Notamacropus eugenii: one gene and its partners. The protein of the gene in region 3 interacts with the protein of the main gene of each other region in a biochemical or structural test. Links are inferred from orthologs where the notes say so. Each region holds a gene or a part of one and is shown on either strand. Other genes may lie near its edges.

Evidence for each region.
Region 1: the proteins of RAB6A (region 3) and KIF20A form a complex in vitro, tested with the Homo sapiens proteins (2 studies listed by BioGRID). The link is inferred for Notamacropus eugenii from reciprocal best matches to the Homo sapiens genes RAB6A and KIF20A.
Region 2: the proteins of RAB6A (region 3) and BICD1 form a complex in vitro, tested with the Homo sapiens proteins (3 studies listed by BioGRID). The link is inferred for Notamacropus eugenii from reciprocal best matches to the Homo sapiens genes RAB6A and BICD1.

The regions. Positions count from the first base shown.
Region 1 is NC_092872.1:365,308,799-365,315,984, reverse strand, and holds the start of KIF20A (kinesin-like protein KIF20A), read right to left. Parts: upstream 3,007-7,186; 5' UTR 2,886-3,006; intron 2,538-2,885; 5' UTR 2,517-2,537; coding exon 2,349-2,516; intron 2,006-2,348; coding exon 1,919-2,005; intron 1,823-1,918; coding exon 1,703-1,822; intron 1,101-1,702; coding exon 962-1,100; intron 861-961; coding exon 673-860; intron 590-672; coding exon 442-589; intron 144-441; coding exon 1-143. Other genes in the region: BRD8 (bromodomain-containing protein 8), read left to right, coding at 4,249-4,339, 4,848-4,944, 6,816-6,885. UniProt on the Homo sapiens protein: Mitotic kinesin required for chromosome passenger complex (CPC)-mediated cytokinesis. Following phosphorylation by PLK1, involved in recruitment of PLK1 to the central spindle. Interacts with guanosine triphosphate (GTP)-bound forms of RAB6A and RAB6B.
Region 2 is NC_092874.1:215,033,340-215,040,811, forward strand, and holds the start of BICD1 (protein bicaudal D homolog 1), read right to left. Parts: upstream 3,007-7,472; 5' UTR 2,366-3,006; coding exon 2,153-2,365; intron 1-2,152. UniProt on the Homo sapiens protein: Regulates coat complex coatomer protein I (COPI)-independent Golgi-endoplasmic reticulum transport by recruiting the dynein-dynactin motor complex.
Region 3 is NC_092876.1:131,569,970-131,577,082, forward strand, and holds the start of RAB6A (ras-related protein Rab-6A), read left to right. Parts: upstream 1-4,235; 5' UTR 4,236-4,421; coding exon of another isoform or gene 4,422-4,866; coding exon 4,867-4,936; intron 4,937-7,113. Other genes in the region: uncharacterized protein, read right to left, coding at 3,693-4,235, 4,422-4,868. UniProt on the Homo sapiens protein: The small GTPases Rab are key regulators of intracellular membrane trafficking, from the formation of transport vesicles to their fusion with membranes.

The DNA.
Region 1 (7,186 bases), on a different chromosome or scaffold from region 3:
CTTTCGCTGCTGGCTGGGGGGCTCCAACAAGTCAAAGATCATCTCATTATAGATCTCAAAGAAGGAGATCCAGATAGAGAACCGGACATCAGCTGGGACACAGAATGGGGCAGTATCTGGCTCAGCCCATCTACAAGATGTGTCTGTGGAAGGTACAATAAATAGTCAGCTACAAGCCTAGCTTTGATCATCATGCTTGCGTCTCAATAGCAAAGAATCACCCTGGGCTTTCACTCCTAATAACAGTAACTCTGGATTTCTACAGAAGAAAATGTACTTGTAGAGGTAAGTTTAAAAACATGCCTTTCACAAGGACTTCTTACAAGGGTTTGATTTTTTTTTTTTTCAGTAAGGGGTAAAGACAATGTGAGGTGGGAAGGAGGAAAAAATAGACTGTGTTCACTGAAATGACAAAATTTTCTTAAAGTTAAAAAAATATACCCTCCATTTGGCTGAGGCTGACACTGCTTTGGCTAGTCAAATGGCTCGTAGAAGAGAGTCCAGCAATGCCACTGTCAAAACTGGCACTGTTCCCCAGCGGTAGTGATTCAGTGTTGTGGCTTTTCTTCAGAGAGTTTATCACTTCCTCCTAGAGAAACCCCAAGAGAAAATAAATACAAAGATTTCCTCGGAGTACTCCTGCCCTTCATTGATGCGATTCTGGGTACTGACCTCACGAGAGCTGCCATTCAGCAGGGCTGTCTTCTTCATCTCTTCCTGCCTCACCTGCTTGCTATCTAGCCAAATCACTTCATTAGCAAAAGAAGGCTTCAAGTCAGAGGCTGGGTAGAGCTGGTTTCGAATACTATTGAAGATCAGAGCCAGAGAACGAGGTAGGATCCCTCCATCCTTGTTGCTACCTAGAAACATAAAAAAGGAGAGCTGAGTGCTAGCACTTGAAACGCTAAAAGATCCTTCTAGAAACTCACCAGAATTTCATGATGCTTTGACTCTCACTCACCCTGGACAGTATGGGTCTTTCCAGAGTTAGTCACTCCATATGTATAAATGAGCCAGTTGTAGCCTTTGAGCACATCTCTGACCATTTCTTTCACTGTCAGGTTGAAGAAAGATGCCTGTCCTACTTCTGGTCCAAAGATCTAGGAAGAATACAGTTCCTTGAAGTCTCCTCCTTGTTTTTAACATAGGTTCATTTCCACCAGCCTAATCCCTACCCCTGAAAGTCAGTTCCTCCCATAACTCTCTATTACTCCCCAGACCTATTTGGTATCTAAATACTAAACAATAGCTGTTTCTCTTTTACTCAGAAATCCTGAGGGTCTTCCCCTCCCAGTTTGATTTTTTTTTTTTTGGATTAAAGGGGCCATCCTTTGAGTAACTACTTAACATTGAATGGGTGTATCTCACTCAAAGTGAGGATGTGATAAGACAGGACCAGGATCTCCCATTGTATCCTGATGAATATCAGGCCACTGGACCCAGATGGCTCAGAAGAAATAAGGCTGGTGACCTGGCACAGCCCTCCCTCACTCAAATCAAAGTCAACTGCAAGTCATGTCATCATCTTTATGTCATGGTCTTCTTTGAGAACGAAGGACAAACGCAACAACAATTACTCCCCAGACCACTATGGACTCAACAACTTTATGGATCTTCCTCTTGGCAAACATATAGAAAAACATTTTCCCACTGGTTATACATCTCACTGGCAGCCTTGTTGAAAGTGCTTCCAGCTTGATACCTGGGAAAAGGTGAATCTATGAGTGGCTTGGCCCACACCTCTCTCATTGCTTCTCATAGCAAAAGAGTCCTTGGGTGCCTGCAGAACAAGCGTTTCTGGGTTTTCGATTCGAACACAGCCCTAGCAAATGAAACATACATAAACATGTTAGGAGAAGGGGGCAGTCTCATTACCCTTTTATATCATATCATAACGTGTGCTTCCCAAGGCACTCACCTGTTCTTGTCTCTCTACCTCTGAAGGCAGCAGGGGTCGGACTCTCAAGTATACTTTTACCTTCTCTGCACCATCTTCAGGTACAACCTGTGGCAGAAACCCAGCCAAGAGCCCCACTGATTAGATTAAACAACTACCTCTGAGCCTGAAATCATAGCAATCACAGGATTACTCAGCAGACACACTAGGGAAGTCGTATAGACCTCCCTCTACTGCTACACTCATGCTAAGAGACTGAAGAAAAGTCATTTGTCCTCCTCTCTCAACATCCTCCTTCCTCCTAAGACCTAACCCACAAACGTGCAACAAAAGCCAGCACGTTACCTGCACCAAGATGAGGGTGGGGAGGTATGCATACCTCTGCATGAGGGCGTGCGTGGGAATGGCTAGGAGGGGATGCATGAGTGGGCGTCATCTCGCTGGACTTTACCTGCTCTTTGTCCTCTATCGGGGGAGGGGAGATGGCAGAGAATTCCGACAGCAGGTCCTTTTGGATCCCGACTCCCAAATCAGCAGCAGTGGATTCGAACACGGGCGACACGACGATGTCCTCATCCGAAAGGAAGCCGACAGGCGGGGTCAGGATACCCCGAGACATGACCACGGTGGCGCGTTCCTCCTGGGAGAGGAAAGGGGCTTCAGGGAGAGGGTACGAGCACCTTCCACACCTGAGGTGGGAACCCGTTCTTCCCTCCATTCTCCGCTTTCCCAGACCCGGGAGAAGGCTCACTCCTGGGAAAGCCTCGGCCCCCCGAACCACCGACCCACACGTGAGCTCCGGCTCTAGCTGCGGGGAGATACGGAGACCCCCCCCCCTCATCCACCGGGCCTCGGAGAGGGGGCTCGCAGCCCAGCCCCTCGCCCCAGGCAGGTTATTAGGGAAGCCGTGGCCGAAGGGCTCCGGGGTCAAGTTCACCGGTGAGAGGCGCCCGCGAAGGACCAAGCCGCGGGGAGTGCAGGCCTTTACCCGTTAGCGCGAAGACTTTCCCAGCTCGGCCTCCAGTACCGGAACTCTCTCCGGGTTCCCCTGGCGCTCCAGGTCTCTACTCTCCCAGGGTGAAGAAGACGCCGCTGGCCGCCGCGTTCCTCCAGCCCCAGCTAGCCCTGCAGCCCCCAGCCCAGCTCCGCTCCACCCACGAGGGGCAGCTTTGTTTCGGAGGCAAGGTTTCAAACGACGCGCTCTGCTCTGTCAGCCAATCCGGCGGCGAGATCACATCCGCCAATCATGGCGCTCAGAAGGCGGGCAGGGTTACCAACCGTCGCTGCGTGGGCCTTTGGGCTCCGGGCTCCGGGCCAGGGCTTCTGCCCGCCCTTAAGAACCCCCGACAGCCTGTCCCCCCATGAAATGTGAAGGGAAACCCAAAGGTGAGGCCATCATCCCTCGCCCTACCGTTTTCTTATCCAGAAGCTTGCCCGAGAACTAGAGACTCCTCCCCAACTCTACACCACCCACCCCAAATAAACTCCATTTCCCAGAGGGCATCTGGTTGTGTGTGGTGTCAACTCAGGGCTCGCACTCCATTTCCCAGAGTCCTTCGGGGCGCAGTCCGATAAGGACCTGCCTCTTCTCGGGAAGGGGGAAGAGTCGGGGCCAAGATGGCGACAGGGACGGGCAGTGAGTGTCTGCGCTGCTCGGGGATGGGCCGCTGCGGCGGTTGTGGCAGAACCCTCCCGACCGCCCCCCTTCCCGCTTCCAGCTCGAGGGTTGGGATTCGCAGAGCGCTGGGCCTGGGGGCCCTGTGAGATCGCGCTAGGCGAGACTCGAGCTTGCCGAGGGGGCCGCCGAAGAGGGCTTGTTTATGGAGGGGCCTGGGTCGTGTGCGGAGCCCCAGGGGGAGGGGGCGGGGCAGCGAGGCTTCGAGCGCCGGAGAGACCGGTGGATGGAGGCCTCTATCTGCCCTCGCCCCTCCCTCCCTGCCTCCCCCGTCTGAGTGCCGCGTTCCCGCAGCTTGGGCGGGGCGAGGCCTCCTGCGGCCTGGTCTGCGGGGAGCGGCTCAGGTTTCTTAGTGAGGCGTGTAGCGCGGGAGCCAGGCCTGCCTTGTGCGTCTCTGCGGGGGGGGCCGAGCTTTCTATCCGGAGTGGCGTAGACAGATTTTAGAGCTGGGAGGGCCGCTTAGACGTTAGGCGGCCCACCCCTCTTTTTTTTCCCCCCGCTTTTTGAAAAACAACAACGTTCCCTGCAGTGGAAAGATTATAAGGCTCGGATTCAGGAGGCCTGGGTGCTAGCCTGGATTTGATTACTGTCATTTTTTAGACCTATAGCTTGCGATCTTTAGGCCTCAGTTTCCTAAACTGTAAACTGAGAGGTAAAAGAGGCGTTGGTGGACCAGATGCATTGTGGTACACCTGAAAGAGTCCAGACTATGGAGTTAGAAGGGCTTGGGTTCAAATCCCAGCTCTGCTGCTTACGAAGTGTGAGAGGTAGTGGGCAAATGATTTAGCCTCCTTTTTTTTCAACTGTAAAATAAGGCGATTGGGCTAGAACCAGGGGCTTTTAATTTGGAATTTATGGATAGGGCCTTAAATAGATTTCAAGAAGGTTTTGAATTTGGATTAAAAAATTGATATTTGTTTTCCTTGATATTTGATTTCCTTTTTATTTTATGCATTTAAAAAATTCTGAGAAGGGGAGCCAAAGGTTTCTCCAGACTGCCAAAGGGGTCTGAGACACAAAAAGTTAAGAACCCCTGGACTAGATGATTTCTAAGGTCTTACTCAACTGCTTCTTTACCTTATTCTTAAGGTGGATTGTTGAGATTTGAAGGCATAGAGCAGGTCCTGGTCCACAGTGGGTTGCTACCCAATTTTTGATGTAAAGAGTTGTATTGAGACCAATCTGGTTTAGTTCACTTGATTGGAATAGTGTTAGACCTTTGCCTGGGATTGGTGTCTTCTCAATGGACTCTCACTGAGTTTCCTCTTTCTACAGAACACAAGCTGCTGAGTACTGGCCCCACAGAACCCTGGTCTATTCGGGAGAAGCTGTGTCTAGCCTCCTCTGTCATGAGGAGTGGAGATCAAAACTGGTAAGATACTTGGGATATCAAATGTAGGATAGCAGGAGCTTGGGACATTGAAATTATTGGGAGGCTTTCCTGTACTCGGGGGTTAGTTGAGCCATAGGAGCCAGGAGATAGTGTAAATCCTTAACCATTATCTCAGACTATTGTGAAGTTCCAGGGGAGTAAAAGAGAAGGGTCTTGAATCTTAAGATTTAGTTTAGCCTTTTTGTGATTTTCAGAAAAGAATGAGCACCTTCTTGACTAATTGTCTGCTCTTTCTGTTAATAGTTAAAATACAATTTTTAGAATTTTTTTCTTCCTCAATCTGATTCCAATTTTGGAGTTATACCATTAGTTTAAATGAGAACTCAGTCACTCATTAAGTAGAAGATATTGTTCTCTACAGGAAACTTTGCTTGCTTTCTGGTGTTTACCTGGGCCCTTAGATGGAATCTTGTAATGAAAAACTTGAGAACTGCTTCCCCTGTATTTGTAGAAGCATGTCCAGTGGTGGTAGAGATTAATATCAGTCACTCTCTACCTTGTAAGTAGCAACAGTTCAGGAGCCATCCCTTATCTTCATAATGTAATGGAAAATCTACTGACCTTGAAGTCAAAAGATCTGGGCCTGATTTCCTGCTTAAATGAATATTGATGAACTTGGTGACCCTGGGCTTAGTTAAAAACCACAGCTGTGGTACCTCCTAATCTAGTGGTGCCCTACTTATGAACACATGAAGTGATTCCCGGGTATCTGTCTGTAAATCCATACGTATAAAAGCATTGCCTTTCGTTCCAGAAGCTCCTGTGTAATGGTTGTAAATACGGGGTATTTCAAATATATCCAGATGCTTCAGGGATTAATAAAATGCCAGTTGTAGAAATGTTTCTGATTTCTTCGTATCTTTTAGTCATTAGGTAATTTCTCAGTCATTATATGTTAATGTTAAAATTAATGTCACAAAAAAGTGGATTTATTTTACATTAAAAAGGGGTCTTCAGGTACAAAGCCTAGTAACGACTGCCCTAAATCTGCAAGATGGGATAATGGTACTTGTAAACCCCCTATATTAAAAGAGTGTTGGGAGGCAATTGCTTTGGAAACCGGAAAGCACTATGTAAATGTAAGCTGTTACACATGGGGGTGTGATGGCGCTGTTGGCTGTTGTTGATGCGCATCGTGCATCGAGTTGAGAGTGTAATGTGGTGCAGAGACGCTGTGTTTGTTTTTGGGTAGTTTTGGTCCGATCAGAGGCTGAATCCTAGTTCTGTCACCTTTGTGTAATCGGGGCAAACCCCACTCTGTGAGCTTTAGTTTTCTCATCCTTAAAAGGAGCATGATAATACTTGTATTATTTGCCTCACAGGGTTATTGTGAGGAAATTTCTTTGTAAACCCTCAAGTGATAACAGAACCAAAGACTAGAATAAACAATAAACTGTGCCAGTTTGTTAAACCCAGCATACTCATATATTTAACTTGACTGCAGTATAAAATCCAACCCAGCTTTTCACAAAATGTCTAGTGAAGTAGTTTGAACTGACACTATACTTATTTATTTTTAAGGCATTTGAGTCATAACAATAAGAATACTGACACATTCCCCAAACTGATAGAGCATTAGGTACCTATTCTTTCTCTTTCTCATCTAGAAGTTCTACTGAGGAATGTTCTTTTCATTCTAAATGACTTTTACGTTGTTTATTTACTCCCATATTCAAAGTCTGTTCCTTCGCTGTTCCTAACTGTACTCCTTTTGGTTTTAAAAGTGTGGCTCCTAACCTGTGGACCTGAAATTACCAGCATATCTTTTGTCCTCTCATGATGGAGTTTTATAGTATGTTGTGGTCCAAGACTGATGCTTTGAAGGTCCTTATTTTTTTCTTTTTTTGTAGGGTGTCAGTTAGCAGAGCAATCAAGCCCTTTGCTGAACCTGGCCGACCTCCTGACTGGTTCTCTCAGAAAGTAAGCTCCAGGGATAGTGTCCTTCTATAGCAGTCTTTCCGTACCCAGTCCTATTAATTTAACCGGAAGACCTTTGCCTTATTGAGAGAATTTAAAGTTATGCACTTTTACTGTAGATCAGTGAAAATTGCCTTTTATTTCCTTGTTACCCCTCCTTCAAATTTACCTGTTTGTATTGAGGGTACTACTATTTTTCCATTTACCCAGTTTTACAGTCTTGGGTCCTTTTTTTTTTTAATTAACTTTTTTTTTTCAATTAACCAAAATCTAACATCTCTCTTTCCCACCACCAACCATTTCC
Region 2 (7,472 bases), on a different chromosome or scaffold from region 3:
AAAGAGTAAATATGGGAAAGAGGACTAGTATGTTTCCACAAGTCATTCATTATTTTTTTTTAAATCATAATGTTTAACTCATCTTTAAACCCTTAAACTGATCCTTTTTTTCTCATTTCTGTCTATGGTGAAAATGATTTGCTTAGTTTTTCAAATTTTTGCCTTCATACTTTTAAAAATTTATTTCCTAATACAATTCAATTCAACAAACATTTACCAAATAACAACTAGATAGTACAATGGATACTGTGCTAGGTCAGGTGTAAGACTTGTGTTCAAATCTAGCCTCAGACCCTCAACCTCCATTTGCCTCATTTTTCTCAACTGTAAAATGGGAATGATAGCAATAGAAACTACCTACCAGGGCTGTGGATAAAATAATATTTGTATAGTGGCTGGCACATAATAAATAACATGCATATATATGTATACATATGCATACACACACATAATACAGGTAAGAATATCTGTCAAATAGGAAATGTCTGTGTAAAAATAAGTGTGTTGCAAGAAAGTTTCCGGAGTCCCATGAATTTTTTTTGCATGGAGTTTTTGCATTAGTTTACCTAAACTACAAAAATTTTACCATAAAATTGCTTAAAAGGCTTGATCAAAAATTGACTGATATTGCATTGTATTTTTCCAACATGCTACATTTTATTGAATAATACACAAAAAAAGACATAGGTAAAGAAATGGCTTGAGCTGGACCTGAGTTCAAGCTCCTCTTCAGACACATACTAACTACTTAAAGTTGGACAAGTCACTGAAACCTGAAATCCCACGCAATTCTCTAGTCCTTTAAGTTGTAGAACTGTTGCCCATATGCAAAGAAACTAAGTCTAGGCTGAAAATAAAACTTCAAATCATCCAAATATTAGGTAGAACGAGAGTTATACATACTCCATCTGTAATATTATGGTTTTATTGATACCTTAGGAGAGGTTATGCAGATAGAGCTATAAAGGAAGGGGTGGAGGAAGGAGTGAGGGCATCAAATACTACTTACTACCCTATAGAGTAATGGTGGTATAGCAAGTGGGCAAGTTAAATTACCCTGGAAAGTCTCTTAACCTTTCGGTATTGTAGGTAACACTCTAAGAAGATAAGTTACAGAGAAGCCTTCCTCCATTGATAGAGGGAGTTTCTTCATCTGGGAATTCCCTGTATCCATGAAAGCACAGGTCCAATCTCTCTCTCTATCAATTCCTTATTTCTAATTGATAACCTCATTTAAAATGTAAAGCTACACTTCACAGTTACATCCCAGTTCAAGATTTATGTTTTCTTCAGGTCATTTGTTCTGAAGTTTAATTTTTACTGGGCAGGATGACCTCATCTCTACTTTGAAGCTTTGCCCACACTGAAGAGTGCTACCTCACTCAATGGTGAAAACAAGGCATCTACATCATCACCAGTAAGAGTTGTTTACCTTTTGTACAGTATAACAAGAATGACAGAAGCAAAGAGAGGCCAAGCCTTCAGTGATGTACTAATACTATGTTTTCTCCTTATGACTAAAGAACAGGATATTCAGATATATGACTAAGGTATTTTTAATTTAATAATTAAAGTTGTGACTTCCCCAGGCTCAAATCTATTAATTACCTAGAGGATTCTTGCTGCAATCCAGGCTAGAAACAACATTGGCTTTTTAAATTTTTATTTAATCACCCCCAAATCATCCTTAATCCTTTCATATACCTCCACTTGAATATAAATATGAATTTCTCCTCCCCCCACAAATCCTATCTCCATGTTTCCAATATACAGATATATACTGATTTCCTTAGGCATTTTTCTTACATGGAAACAATGAACTCTATCAAAAGCACCTGGCTAACTGAGCTCACATTCAGATAAAGAGTCAGCTCATACGATCATAGATCAAGGGCCACAGAAACCTTTGAGTGGTCATCTAGTCCAATTCACTCATCTTGCAGATGAGGCAACTGAGGCCCAGCAAGTTAAGTGCCTTGCCCAAGGTCATACAGGTAGACAAGCAGATAAGTCAGAGGTAGAACTTGAAGTCAGGTCCTCTGACCTCAAGGCCAAGGTTCTTTCCAGCGATGCATTCCGTGTACCCCCGTCTTTGTTTTTTAAGGATCGGTCTGGGGATGGTGGGCGAGGAGAAAGGCCATTGGGAACTCACCTCTTTGAGCTGCTCTAGCTCTTGCTTAAGGCCGTCGTACTCCGCCTCCAACTCATCATACTGCTGCTTCAAGGTGAGCTTCTCTTCCAGGACCACCAGGCCGTACTCGGCAGCCTGGATCTTCTCGTGGGTCGTCTCCGTGAGCTCCTTAGTCAGCCTTTCGATCTCAGTCTTATAGTGATCCACGCTCTGCAATACCTCCTCTGCAGCCATCGCTCCAGTGATGGATGGAAACGGGAGGGGGGAAGAAAAGATGCAGGGGGTGGGGTGGGGCTGGGGAGGAATTAGAGGGAGGCAGGAAAATAACGGGGGGCGGCGGCGAAAGGGATGGACGTGTCCCTAGAGCTTTCCTGCCGGCAGCGACCACAGCGGCTGGATATTGGGAAGGAAATGTAACGTGGAAAAGGAAGGGCAGAAGATTCGCGAAGAGGCTGCGGCGGCCGCACCATTCATTGGGGGCCGGGGCCGGTCCGCGGCATGGTGCCGCGCTGCGGCCGGTGGATTCTGCTTATTCAGAGGCTCGGGGCCGCCATCCCTCCGGGCAGCGCCACTGCGGTCTCGGCACTCCGCCGCCAGCCTCCCCTTCCCTCTCCACCTGCTCCTCTGGCCCTGCAGCAGCGGAGCAGAATGATGCAGTCCGGGCCCCCTCCCTTCCGGAAGGAAACGAATGGGAGGAAGGCAGGGAGGGAGGGAGGAAGGGAGGGAGGGAAGGCAGCGGCTAACCGGAGACTCCAGGCTCCCAGAAGAGCCCCCAGGCGGCCGCTCCGGGGCCACTGGCAGAGCCTGGTGGGAGGAGACAAGGAGCCAGGGGCGGCGGCGGGGCCCGGCCGAGGCGGGGATGGAGACAGCCAGGGGCGAGACTAGAAGGGGGAGGAAGAGGAGAAGGCAAAGAAAGGGGGCGAGAAGGAAGAGGAGGGAAAGGGAGACAGCCCGGCCCTACGCAGGAGGTGGGAGGGGTGTGTTCGCCAGCCCCGGAGGGTCTGCTGCTGCCTCACTCAGTGACCGGGTAAGAAAAAGCTTGGCCGCAGCCAGGCGCTCCTGCCTGGCATTCATTCCTGGTCTTCTGTGACCAACAAACCCTAGGACTGCGAAACCCTCCAGCCACCCTGGGCGAGTGCAGAAATGCCCCTGCCCGTCTCTCTGATTAAAATAGACTTACCACGCGGGACCGCCACCGGGCAATACCGCTATTCTGATTTTCAATCTGCTTTCACACTTAGAGCTCTCCTCCACTCCTCTCCTTCCACCCTTACGTAGTATTAGCTGACACTTAGGAGAGCTGTAAGTCTTGCCAGGCACTTTTCCACACGTGATTTCATTTGCTCCTTACAACCACCTACTAAGGTACTTATTATGGAGTATCCCCTCTTTCACAAATTAAAAAAAAAGTATGCTCTTATTCATGCTCATATAAAGGTCACATCTGGGTTTTAGAAGTCAGGGCTCTGCTACTGCAGGGTCCAATACACTTTGCATTATGCCATGTTGGCGGAAAGTCCTTTTTGTACCTTCTCTCTCTTCCATTCTTCTGTTGAAAGTTATGTTGATTGATTGTACGTGTATAAAATATATCTGATTGCTTACAGTCTCAGGGAGGGGTAAGGGTAGCTAGTTGGGGGGGCAGAGGAGGGTGAAAGAATTTGGAACTCAAAACGTGAAAAAAAACCCAAATATTAAAACTTGTTTTGATATGTACTGGGGTGGATATTATACACACACACACACACACACACACACACACACACACACATTTGAAAGTTATATTGATTCAATGATTCGTTGTTGCCACCCCTGGTTGTCAATCAGTGTTGGGGGAGGCTCCACTGGGAAGGGGACACCAATTCTGTAGCTTTTTGCATTACCTGCTCTTTGTCACATACCCTTCTTGTGATGTTTGTACCCTACCTGCAAATTGTCTATACTTGCTGTGTTAGGAAGGAACTGAGATTCAAGGATCCAACCTATTTTGCTGACATTAACCTATCTGAATTGTCTGTATTTCCTTAGGAAAGTTATCAATCAAAACTAACACCACCTTGAAGTCATCAATGGTCTTCAGCAATCAGCCCAAGAACAAATAATATGTTGTTACCTTGACTTATTTATAATAAACTCCATTTAATTATCTTTAATCTTAATTTTCCCTCGTTAATCAGGGTGAAAGCCCAAACAAAGAATTTTTCCTTCAATACTACCACTCATATCTCCTTTCTGCTTTTCTCCTCCACTCTCTCAGGGGCTTCCAAAGTTGTTTTTTTTTTTTTATTGAGTACCCTTCTCAGTAAATTTTATTGTATTGTCAAAGTATTTGGAGCTTGACATAACAACAATCCTTTGCACTCTGGATGATCTTGCCCTGTGGCAAAGTGTATTGCTTTGACCAGCACCAAGGGTTCACTGAGGGATTTATGATTTTCATACTAATCTATAACTGTTTGTTGGAGCTCCCCCTTTTTCCCAGTCACATGACAGCCAACATGCTGCAGCCTGAGGCCATCCATAATATCGCGTGACATGTTCAGAATCCCTGTTTTTTGTAACACTAACTCTGGTTCTGTACACCACTGAATAATCACAAAGCTCAACAACCCTTAAGATCAATCAACTTAACAACTGTTCCCATAGGACCCAGGTATACCTGCATTGTCCACACATAAGCCTGCTGTGGGAACTGCTACTCCAGACCTAAGAATGATTGTGTTGTGGTTTTTCTGCCATTGCCTGAAAATGTGGTTTTTCTGCCTTTGCTTGAAAATGTTTAGCCCTATTTCCCAGGTAAGGAAGGGGGACTTACACTTGCAAGTGTTTTCCTTACTCTGAAATTAATTAAACTTCTGTTAAATCCTTCACACACCTGCTTCTGGACTGCTCTGTTTGGCTATAGCCATTCCCAAGTAAGAGGCTAGTTCTGGTCTGCTTGACATTAACTGTGTATATATAGAGATATATATGTGTGTATATATGTATGTGTGTACATGTATACATGTGTGTATATACATACATATATATGTGTGTATATATGTATGTGTGTACATGTATACATGTGTGTATATACATGTGTGTATACACATATGTATACACACATATATTTGTGTGTATACATATACAGATGTGGATACCTATACATGCATGCATGCATGCATGCGTACGTACATACATGATGAATGAAAACCTGAAGAAACAGTTTTCTGACCAACTAATAAGTTTGTGCCTTGAAAGCCAGGATCAAATTTCATCACTCAACCATGCCCTTCAGAGGCTGACTGACCTTTTCTTTCTTTCTTTCTTTTTAGTTTTCAACATCCATTTCCACAAGATTTTGAGTTCCAAACTTTCTCCCCATCTCTCCCCTCTCCCCACCCCAAGACACCACGCATTCTGATTACCCCTTTCCCCAATCTGCCTTCTGTTCTGTCACATCCCTCCCTTCCCTTATCTTCATCTTCTCTATTTTCTTGTAGGGCAAGATAGATTTCTATACCCCATTACCTGTATTTCTTATTTCTCAGTTGCATGTACAAAACAAGTTTTAACATTCGTTTTCAAAACTTTGAGTTTCAACTTCTCTCCCTTCCTCCCTCCCCACCCATCCCCACTGAGAGGGCAAGCAATTCAAAATAGATTGTACATGTGCAGTTACGCAAAAGACTTCCGTAAAAGTCATGTTGCAAAAAATTAACTGTATTTCCTTCCATCTTATCCTGCCCCCCATTTATTCTATTCTCTCTTTTGACCTTGTCCCTCCCCCAGAGTGTTTACTTCTACCCCTCCCCCCATTTGCCCTACTTTCTCCACACCCCACTTATCCCCTTCTCCCCTACTTTCCTGTAGTATAAGATAGATTTTCATACCAAATTGAGTGTGCATGTTATTCCCTCCTTAAGCCAAATGTGATGAGAATAAACTTCACTTTTTCCCTCTCATCTCCCCTCTTTTCCCCTCCATTGAAAAAGCTTTTCCTTTCCTCTTTTATGAGAGATAATTTGCCCCATTCCATTTCTCCCTCTCTCCTCCCAATATATTCCTCTTTCACCAATTAATTTTATTTTTTAGATATCATCCCTTCCTATTCAACTCATCCTGTACCCTCTGTCTATATGTATATAATCGCTCCAACTACCCAAATACTGAGAAAAGTCTCAAAAGTTACAAATATTATCTTTCCATATAGGAACATAAACAGTTCCACTTTAGTGAGTCCCTTATGATTTCTCTTTGCTGTTTACCTTTTCATGCTTCTCTTGATTCTTGTGTTTGAAAGTCAGATTTTGTATTCAACTCTGGTCCTTTCATCAAGAATGTCTGAAAGTTTTCTATTTCATTGAATGACTATTTATTCCTCTGAAGTATTATACTCAGTTTTGCTGGATAAATGATTCTTGGTTTTAATCCTAGTTCCCTTGACTTCTGGAATATCATATTCCAAGCTCTTCTATCCCGTAATGTAGAAGCTGCTAGATCTTGTGTTATCCTGATTGTATTTCCACAATACTTGAATTGTTTCTTTCTGGCTGCTTGCAATATTTTCTCCTTGACCTGGAAGCTCTGAAATTTGGTTACAATATTCCTAGGAGTTTTCCTTTTGTGATCTTTTTCAGGAGGGGATTGGTGGATTCTTTCAATATTTATTTTACCCTCTGGTTCTAGAATATCAGGGCAGTTTATCAGAACAGTTAAATTTCATGAAAGATGATGTCTAGGCTCTTTTTTTGATCATGGCTTTCAGGTAGTCCCATAATTTTTAAATTATCTTTCCTGGATCTATTTTCCATGTCAGTTGTTTTTACAATGAGATATTTCACATTGTCTGCTATTTTTTCATTCCTTTGGTTTTGTTTTGTAATATCTTGATTTTTCATAAAATCATTAGCTTCCATCTGCTCCATTCTAGTCTTTAAGGAATTATTTTCTTCAGTGAGCTTTTGGACCTCCTTTTCCATCTGGCCAATTCTGCTTTTTAGGGCATTCTTCTCCTCATTGGCTTTTTGAATCTATTGTGTCATTTGGGTTAGTCTGTTTTTTAAAGTGTTATTTTCTTCAGCATTTCTGGGGTCTCCTTTAGCAAGTAGTTGACTGGTTTTTCATGATTTTCTTGCATCACTCTCATTTCTCTTCCCAATTTTTGCTGTACTTCTCTTACTTGATTTTCAAAATCATTTTTGAGCTCTTCCATGGCCTGAGATCAATTTGTACTTTTCTTGGAGGCTTTGGATGAAGGAGCTTTGACTTTGTTTTCTTCTGTTTGCATTCTTTGGTCTTCCTTGTCACCAAAGCAAGATTCTATAGTCTGGTTCTTTTTCCGGTTTTTGCTCATTTCCCC
Region 3 (7,113 bases):
CCTTCCTTCTATCATTCCCCCACCCTCCTACACCCCTGCTTATCCCCTTCTTTCCTGTAATATAAGATAGATTTTCATAGCAAATTGAGTATGCATGTTACTCCCTCCTTAAGTCAAATGTGATGAGAATAAGGTTCACTTTTTCCCCTCTCACCTCCCTTCTCTTCCCTTCCATTGAAAAAGCTTTTTCTTGCTTCTTTTATGTGAGAGATAATTTGCCTCATTCTATTTTTCCCTTTCTCCTCCCAATATATTCCTCTCATACCTTAATTTTATTTTTTTAGATATCATCCCTTCCTATTCAACTTAACCTGTACCCTCTGTCTATATGTATATAATTCCTCCAATTACCCTAGTACTGAGAAAAGTTTCAAGACTTACAAATATTATCTCTCCAGTTCAACTATAGTAAGTCCCTTATGATTTGCCTTTCCTGTTTACCTTTTCATGCTTCTCTTGATTCTTGTGTTTGAAAATCAAATTTTCTATTCAGCTCTGGTATTTTCATCAAGAATGCTTGAAAGTCCTTGATTTTATTGAAAAACCATTTTTTCCCCTGAAGTATTATACTCAGTTTTGCTGGGTAGGTGATTCTTGGTTTTAGTCCTAGTTCCTTTAACTTCTGGAATATCATATTCCAAGTCCTTTGATCCCTTAATGTAGAAGCTGCTAGATCTTTTGTTATCCTGATTGTATTTCCACAACACTTGAATTGTTTCTTTCTAGCTGCTTGCAATATTTTCTCTTTGACCTGGGAGCTCTGGAATTTGTCTACAGTATTCCTAAGAGTTTTCCTTTTGGGATCTTTTTCAGGAGACGATCAGTGCATTCTTTCAATGTTTATTTTACCCTCTGGTTCTAGAATATCAGGGCAGTTTTCCTTGATAATTTCTTGAAAGATGATGTCTAGGCTTTTTTTCTGATCATGGCTTTCAGGTAGTCCCATAATTTTTAAATTGTCTGTCCTGGATCTATTTTCCAGGTCAGTTGTTTTTCCAATGAGATATTTCACATTGTCTGCTATTTTTTCATTCCTCTGGTTTTGTTTTATAATTTCTTGTTTTTTCATAGTCATTAGCTTCCATATGCTCCATTCTAATCTTTAAGGAATTATTTTCTTCAGTGAGCTTTTGGACCTCATTTTCCATCTAGACAATTCTGCTTTATAGGGCATTCTTCTCTTCATTGGCTTTTTGGATCTCTTTTTTCATTTGGGTTGGTCTATTTTTTACAGTGTTATTTTCATCAGCATTTTTTTGGGTCTCCTTAAGCAAGTGGTTGACTCGTTTTTCATAATTTTCTTGCATCACTCTCATTTCTCTTCCCAATTTTTGTTCTACTTCTCTTACTTGATTTTCAAAATTCTTTTTGAGCTCTTCCATGGCCTGAGACCAATTCATATTTTTCTTGGAGGCTTTGGATGGAGGGGTTTTGACTTTACTGTCTTTTGTTTGCATGTTTTGGTCTTCCTTATCACCAAAGTAAGATTCTATAGTCTGATTCTTTTTTCAGTTTTTGCCCATTTCCCCAGCCATTTATTTGACTTTTGAGCTTTTTGTCAAGGTTGATCTCTGCTTCCAGTGGGGGTGGGGGGTGTACTGTCAGTAGCTCGATTCCCCCACAGTCAGTGGGCCTAGAGCTCCAGAAACAGTTGCTGTCTCTGCCCCTACTGCTGGGAGTTCCTCCACCCCCTTCCCTCTCTGCTGCCCTGGGGCTGGGGCCAGATCATTCCACTCTCCCACACTGGTCCTACAGGCTTTCTCTTTTTCCACTGAACTTCCAATTTGTCCTTGGCATTTTGGGGTCTTGAAGTCTGGAAACTGTCACAGATATGAGAGACTCAGTCTCCCCAAGGCCTGCTCAGGTCCTGTCTGTGCCAGCGTGGCCCACACTGCACTGCGTCCTGCCCCCAGAGTGGTGCAATAGACACTTCTCAGCCACCTTCCAGGCTGTCTTGGGCTGGAGATTTGCTTCATTCCATCATTCTGTGGGCTCCGAAGCTCCAGAATTGGTTTAGAGTCAGTTTACTGGTATTTAGCTGGGCTTGGGAGCAGCACTCTAGAAAGTGTGTGCCGTTACTCAACCATCTTGGCTTGGCCCTGTTGTTACACTTATAACACAGAATGCCAGACCTGGAAGGACCCTTAGCCATAGTTGGGAGGGACCTTAGAACACTGAGTATGAGAGCTGTTAGGGACTTCAAAACAGAGAATGTCAGAAGTGAAAGGTGGCTTAGAACATAGAATGTCAGAGCTGGGAGAGACCTTAGAACACAGAATGTCAGAGCTGGGAAGTCCTTTATTTCAGTAATATCCAATTTAAATAGAAACAGGGGGCACACATACATATATGAGGATTTCTACGTGTCCTATATTGACTTAAGTTTTAAAATGTAATGGCATCTGTTTTGTTGTATTTTTATGTATTTTGCTAAGTATTTCCCAATTACATTTTAATGGAACTGTGATAGGCTGCTTGTGGCCTAGGACCTATGTGTTTCGACACCTCAGCTTTAGAACAAAGAATGTCAGAACTAGACCCTCTCATATTACAGAGAAATAAAGTGATGATGTTTGGTGGGGCAGCTATATGGGGAAACAGATAGAGCATTGGCCCTGGAGTCAGGAAGACTCATCTTTGAGGCCTCAGATCTTTACTAGCAGTGCCATCCTGCGCAAATCACTTAAGCCTGTTGGCCTCAGTTTCCTCATCTATAAAATGAGCTGAAGAAGGAAATGGCAAACTGCTCTATAATCTTTGCCCAGAAAACCCCAAATGGGGTCACGATGAATTGGAAAGGACTAAACAATGACAACTATATTGTTGGCACAGCTCTAGGTGCTGGGGGATGCGGTTTAGGGTTGCTGGGAACCCTGAAATGTCAGGGTGCAGAGAGGTGTCTGCCTGGAAAGAATCACACACTCACACCATCTTTTAGTCAAAATGGCAAGGTTTATTGTAACACCAAAAGTGGTGGTGAGATTCTTAGTGAATCTGCAACTTAATGGGGGGTGGGCGGGGAATGATGGTTAGGATAAAAAGGACGGTGAAAGGACAAGGATGGTGTTAGGGAGTAGTCTGAGTGATCTCGCTGAGCTTGGGTGAGCCAGATGCTTTGGTGTAGGCACCAGTGATCTGGGCTACTGAAACGTATCGGAAAATTCAGGGACTGGGTTGCTTCCAAGGGCATGGTCTGTTCCTTTTAGGGGTCCAAGTCCCATCACCCCATCACTGAGGATGCATTAAAAGGCAGTCTCCTCTTTCCGGGAACTCCGTCTGTAAAGGCAGAGACAGCGTGCAAACAATTACGTACAAACGGATTATTTGGACAGTTGTCGGGAACCTGGAGGAGGGGACCGGTGGTAGGGAGACCAGTGGAGGGGTACCAAGAGTCCAGAAGAGGTGGCTGGAGACTGAAATAGTCACTGGGGGTCTACAGCGTTTAGGAGACGGAGAGGCAGGAGAGGCTTGTGAGAAGATGGGGTGGGGGAGTCCCATGGGGAGAGGGACTGATTTTAGGGGCGCTGTGGGGAAGGGCAGCCAGAGGACAGGATGGAGTAGCTATCTCGGTCCAGAATGGGCTGGCTAGCCCAAGTAGAAAGGGAGACCCGGTGGAGCGAGGGATTTACTCTAAAGGAAAGGGTGTGGGGAATGGGATACGTAGAGTGATACCGGCGAATACTGACGTCACGCTAACGTTTGCGAGGCCAGAGCGTAGACATGCGATGCAGCGGAGGGAGGGGGGAGTGGGAGATCCTGGCGCACGTGGCCCCGGGCGCCAGGCCCTGGCTAGGCCTCTGGCGGTAACCGGCGGGGGAAGGGACGCTGCAGCCCTGCTTCTCGGCGGGGCTGGAGTCCACCTGAGATAACGCACGTGTTAAGGCGGTTGGCAAACTTCTGAATGGCAGCATTATTAGGATTATTTCCGGGGGCTGGGCGCAGACGATGGGCGGGTCGGTGGGGGGGGGCGGAGGAGGCGAGCGAGGAATCCGAGGCCCGACTCCCAGACAGCGGGGCTGGAGGTGGGGTGTCCACAGGTGGCACGCCCCCGCCGCCGTTGGAACCGTTCGGACCTCCCGCCGGTCTCGGCCAGGCCCCGCCCTCCCGCCACACTCTTCATGGCCGCCCTGGCGCGCGCCGCCGCCTCTGCCCCCGCCGGCGCTGAGCCGCTGGCTCTGCGTGTGTCCTCTGCCCTCTCCTTTCGCGCTGTCATTGGGCAAATTCACCTCGGTCACCTTCTATTGGCCCGCTGGGTGTGGCGTCAGCTTCTTCCTCCCTTGCTCCTCCTTTCCCTCCGCCCTCCGCCCTCCGCCCCGCCCCCTCCCCACGCCCGTCCACTCCTCCTCCCTTTCTCCTCGCCAGTCCCATTCTCCCCACTTTTCCACTTAGGGTCGGCGTAGGTGGCTGGCCCGGGAGCCAACGCCGAACCTGGGAAACTGGGGAGCAAGCGCGCTCCCGACCACCAGCCCCGCCCGTGCTCGCGCACGCACGCGGCACGTCACGCTGTCGCGCTCGCGCGCCTCAGCGGAGAGGCTCGCGCACTTGAGCAGGTTCGGCTGCGGCGGCGGATCTCCAGGCTCTCTGGGAAAAGGGGGCGAGGAGTGGCTGCGGCGCTGTCCGTCCCTCTGCTCCTCTCCCTCGGGTAGCTTGTGGTGCGGAAGGGCGGCGCCGACCGCCGCTCCTGTCGAGCCGTACGAGGCCGACTCCGACCCCACCCCCATCTCCTGGTCGGTCCGTCCGTCTCCACCCGCATCTTTGCAGGATCCCCCCCGCTTCCTGCCGCTCCTCCGCCCTACGTGTCTGGGCTGCGGGGAGCCCGCGGGGCCTAAGGAGATCGCTGGGTGAGGCGGCGGCCCCGGCTCCATCATGTCTGCCGGAGGGGACTTCGGGAACCCCCTGAGGAAATTCAAGCTGGTGTTCCTGGGGGAGCAGAGCGGTGAGTGCCCCCCGCTCCGGCTGCGCTGCTGCTGCCCCCGCGGCCTCCGGCCGTGCGTCTGCTGCCCGCCCCCCGCCTCTCCCTCCTCCCTTCCCGGCTTCTCCCGGGCCTGAGCTCCGCCTCGGCCCTCCGCTCCCCGACTCCTTCCCCTTCGGGCGCAGACTCCGAGGCCCTACTGTGTGCGGGTGGCTGCCAGGCCCGGGCGCCCCCGCTTCCTCCGAGTGCCGCACTCAGTCCTCCTCGGACCCCTGCCCCGTCCTTCCCCGTCTCTCCTTTCTCGGCCCTTATCGGAGTTCCAGAGTCTAGGTCTCTTCTCTGTCTCTATTTCCCTGGGCCCTCCCCTTGGGCCTGGGAGCCCGGCGCCTTTATGCGACCCGCGGAAGGTGGAGGCTGGTCGGGATCGGGTGGGATCTGGGCGTTGCCCCTTCCTCCCTCGCCCTCCTTTGGCCTTTGGAACTGAGGATCGAGTCGTCCGTGCCTGAGGATGGGGCGGGGGCTGGAACGTCTTTGGATCGCTCTCTCCCCGGGGGGTTGGAGCAAAAATCTCCTGGAATCGGCCGTGATGTCGGGGTTTTTGTAGGCGGCACTGCCCTTGGACGTGGAAGGGTTAGGCAGCGACGTGCTAAACATCTCAGAATTCTTCTCTTGACTTTCCATTTCCTCACTTAGGATTTTTGGGTAGTTTTGATTGCTTCCCCCCCCCTTCTCCCATCGCCGCCTGGTGCCTTGTCATGATCCATTTACTTGGAATTTCTCACCTTTCTTTTTCGCTTTCTCTCCTCCCGACATCAACTAGTGTCTGATTCTCCTACCCACAGGAACCCATGGATAATCATCAGTTATTTCTATTAGAGTGTTTTCCAGTTATAAATATGTTGAGGATTCTTGGGAGAGATGGTTTGGTACAAGTTCTGTTGGGGAAAAAATTAACAGCTAACTAACGTCTTTTTTGAGGGGATAGGAAGGGATGAAGAAGAGTGTCAATGATCTCGTTATTTAAATTTTAAGAAGTGATACTTAGCTGAAATTTTAAGTGGCTTAAGTCTTAAGTATTAATAATTCCACAAATAAGATTCCCTTTTGGTATTTGCCTAGGTTAGTTCTCTGAATTAGGCTACAAAGTTTTAATTTTGTAATGGTTGTCTTTAAGGTTACTATTTGTAGCAATTTGTTGTATGTCAGTTTTATAGCATTGATACCTAGTTATTTATTGGGAGATAAGAAGGATTATATATCACCTATTTCTTCATTAACCAGTTTCTCCCATTTTTATCTTTAAGAGTCAAGTTGTTGGGAAAATTAGTGTTTGCCATAGAAAAAACATGTTAATACTAAATTCAGAAATATAATTTTCGCCTACAAAAACTTCTGTAGCCCCCAAATGGATTAGCATCAGTTGAATAGTATCTGTCAAATTTTTGTACCTCATTCTATGAAACCAGTCCAGACTGTTTTTTCTTCCTTTATGTGCAAATTGTTCTTATGTAGTGAACAGAGAAAATGTTTGGCTTATAAATTTACAGGAAGCAAGTTTAGACTTGTTTTCCAGTGAGTTACCTGGTATTAGTATGTATGAAGTTCCTGATCCTGCCATTTTATAGCATTTTTAGGCTTAGTATGAGTATAAAATAACCTACTCAAGTAAATATTGATGTGTAGACTGTAAAGTGCCTCTTGTGCACTCTGAGGATGCCATTGCTTGCCTCTTGGTGTGATGCAAAGCTATTTAGTTTGCTTGAAAAAGCCATTAATTTATGTCTCTCCAAGGAAAATTTTAGCCTCAAGTGTACCTGTCTTTTTTACTATTAAAATATGAGCAGGTTTCATTTGAATTTTGGGGATGATGCTATTTTGATTCACGCTGCATATTTTAGGGCCTTAAATTCTTCAACTTAGTCTAAATTGATCATATTTTTCTTTGTAGGCTCATGTTTTTTATCTTAAAAAAATTTTAAGTTATGTGTTATTTTGAGGTGAAACTATAGCTGTTTTCAATTTAACAGGAACAATTTGGGTTCTCAAGGCACATTTGCTTTCTTCTCCTCTGTTAGCAAAAGCTTTCTGAATCCATGGTACTATTTTTGTGATGACGAATTACTTTTAAGTCTTAGAATTCCAAAATTCAGTTTCTAGTTATCCTGTTGATACATTATACTAGAGTGTGCTATGTTTCATAT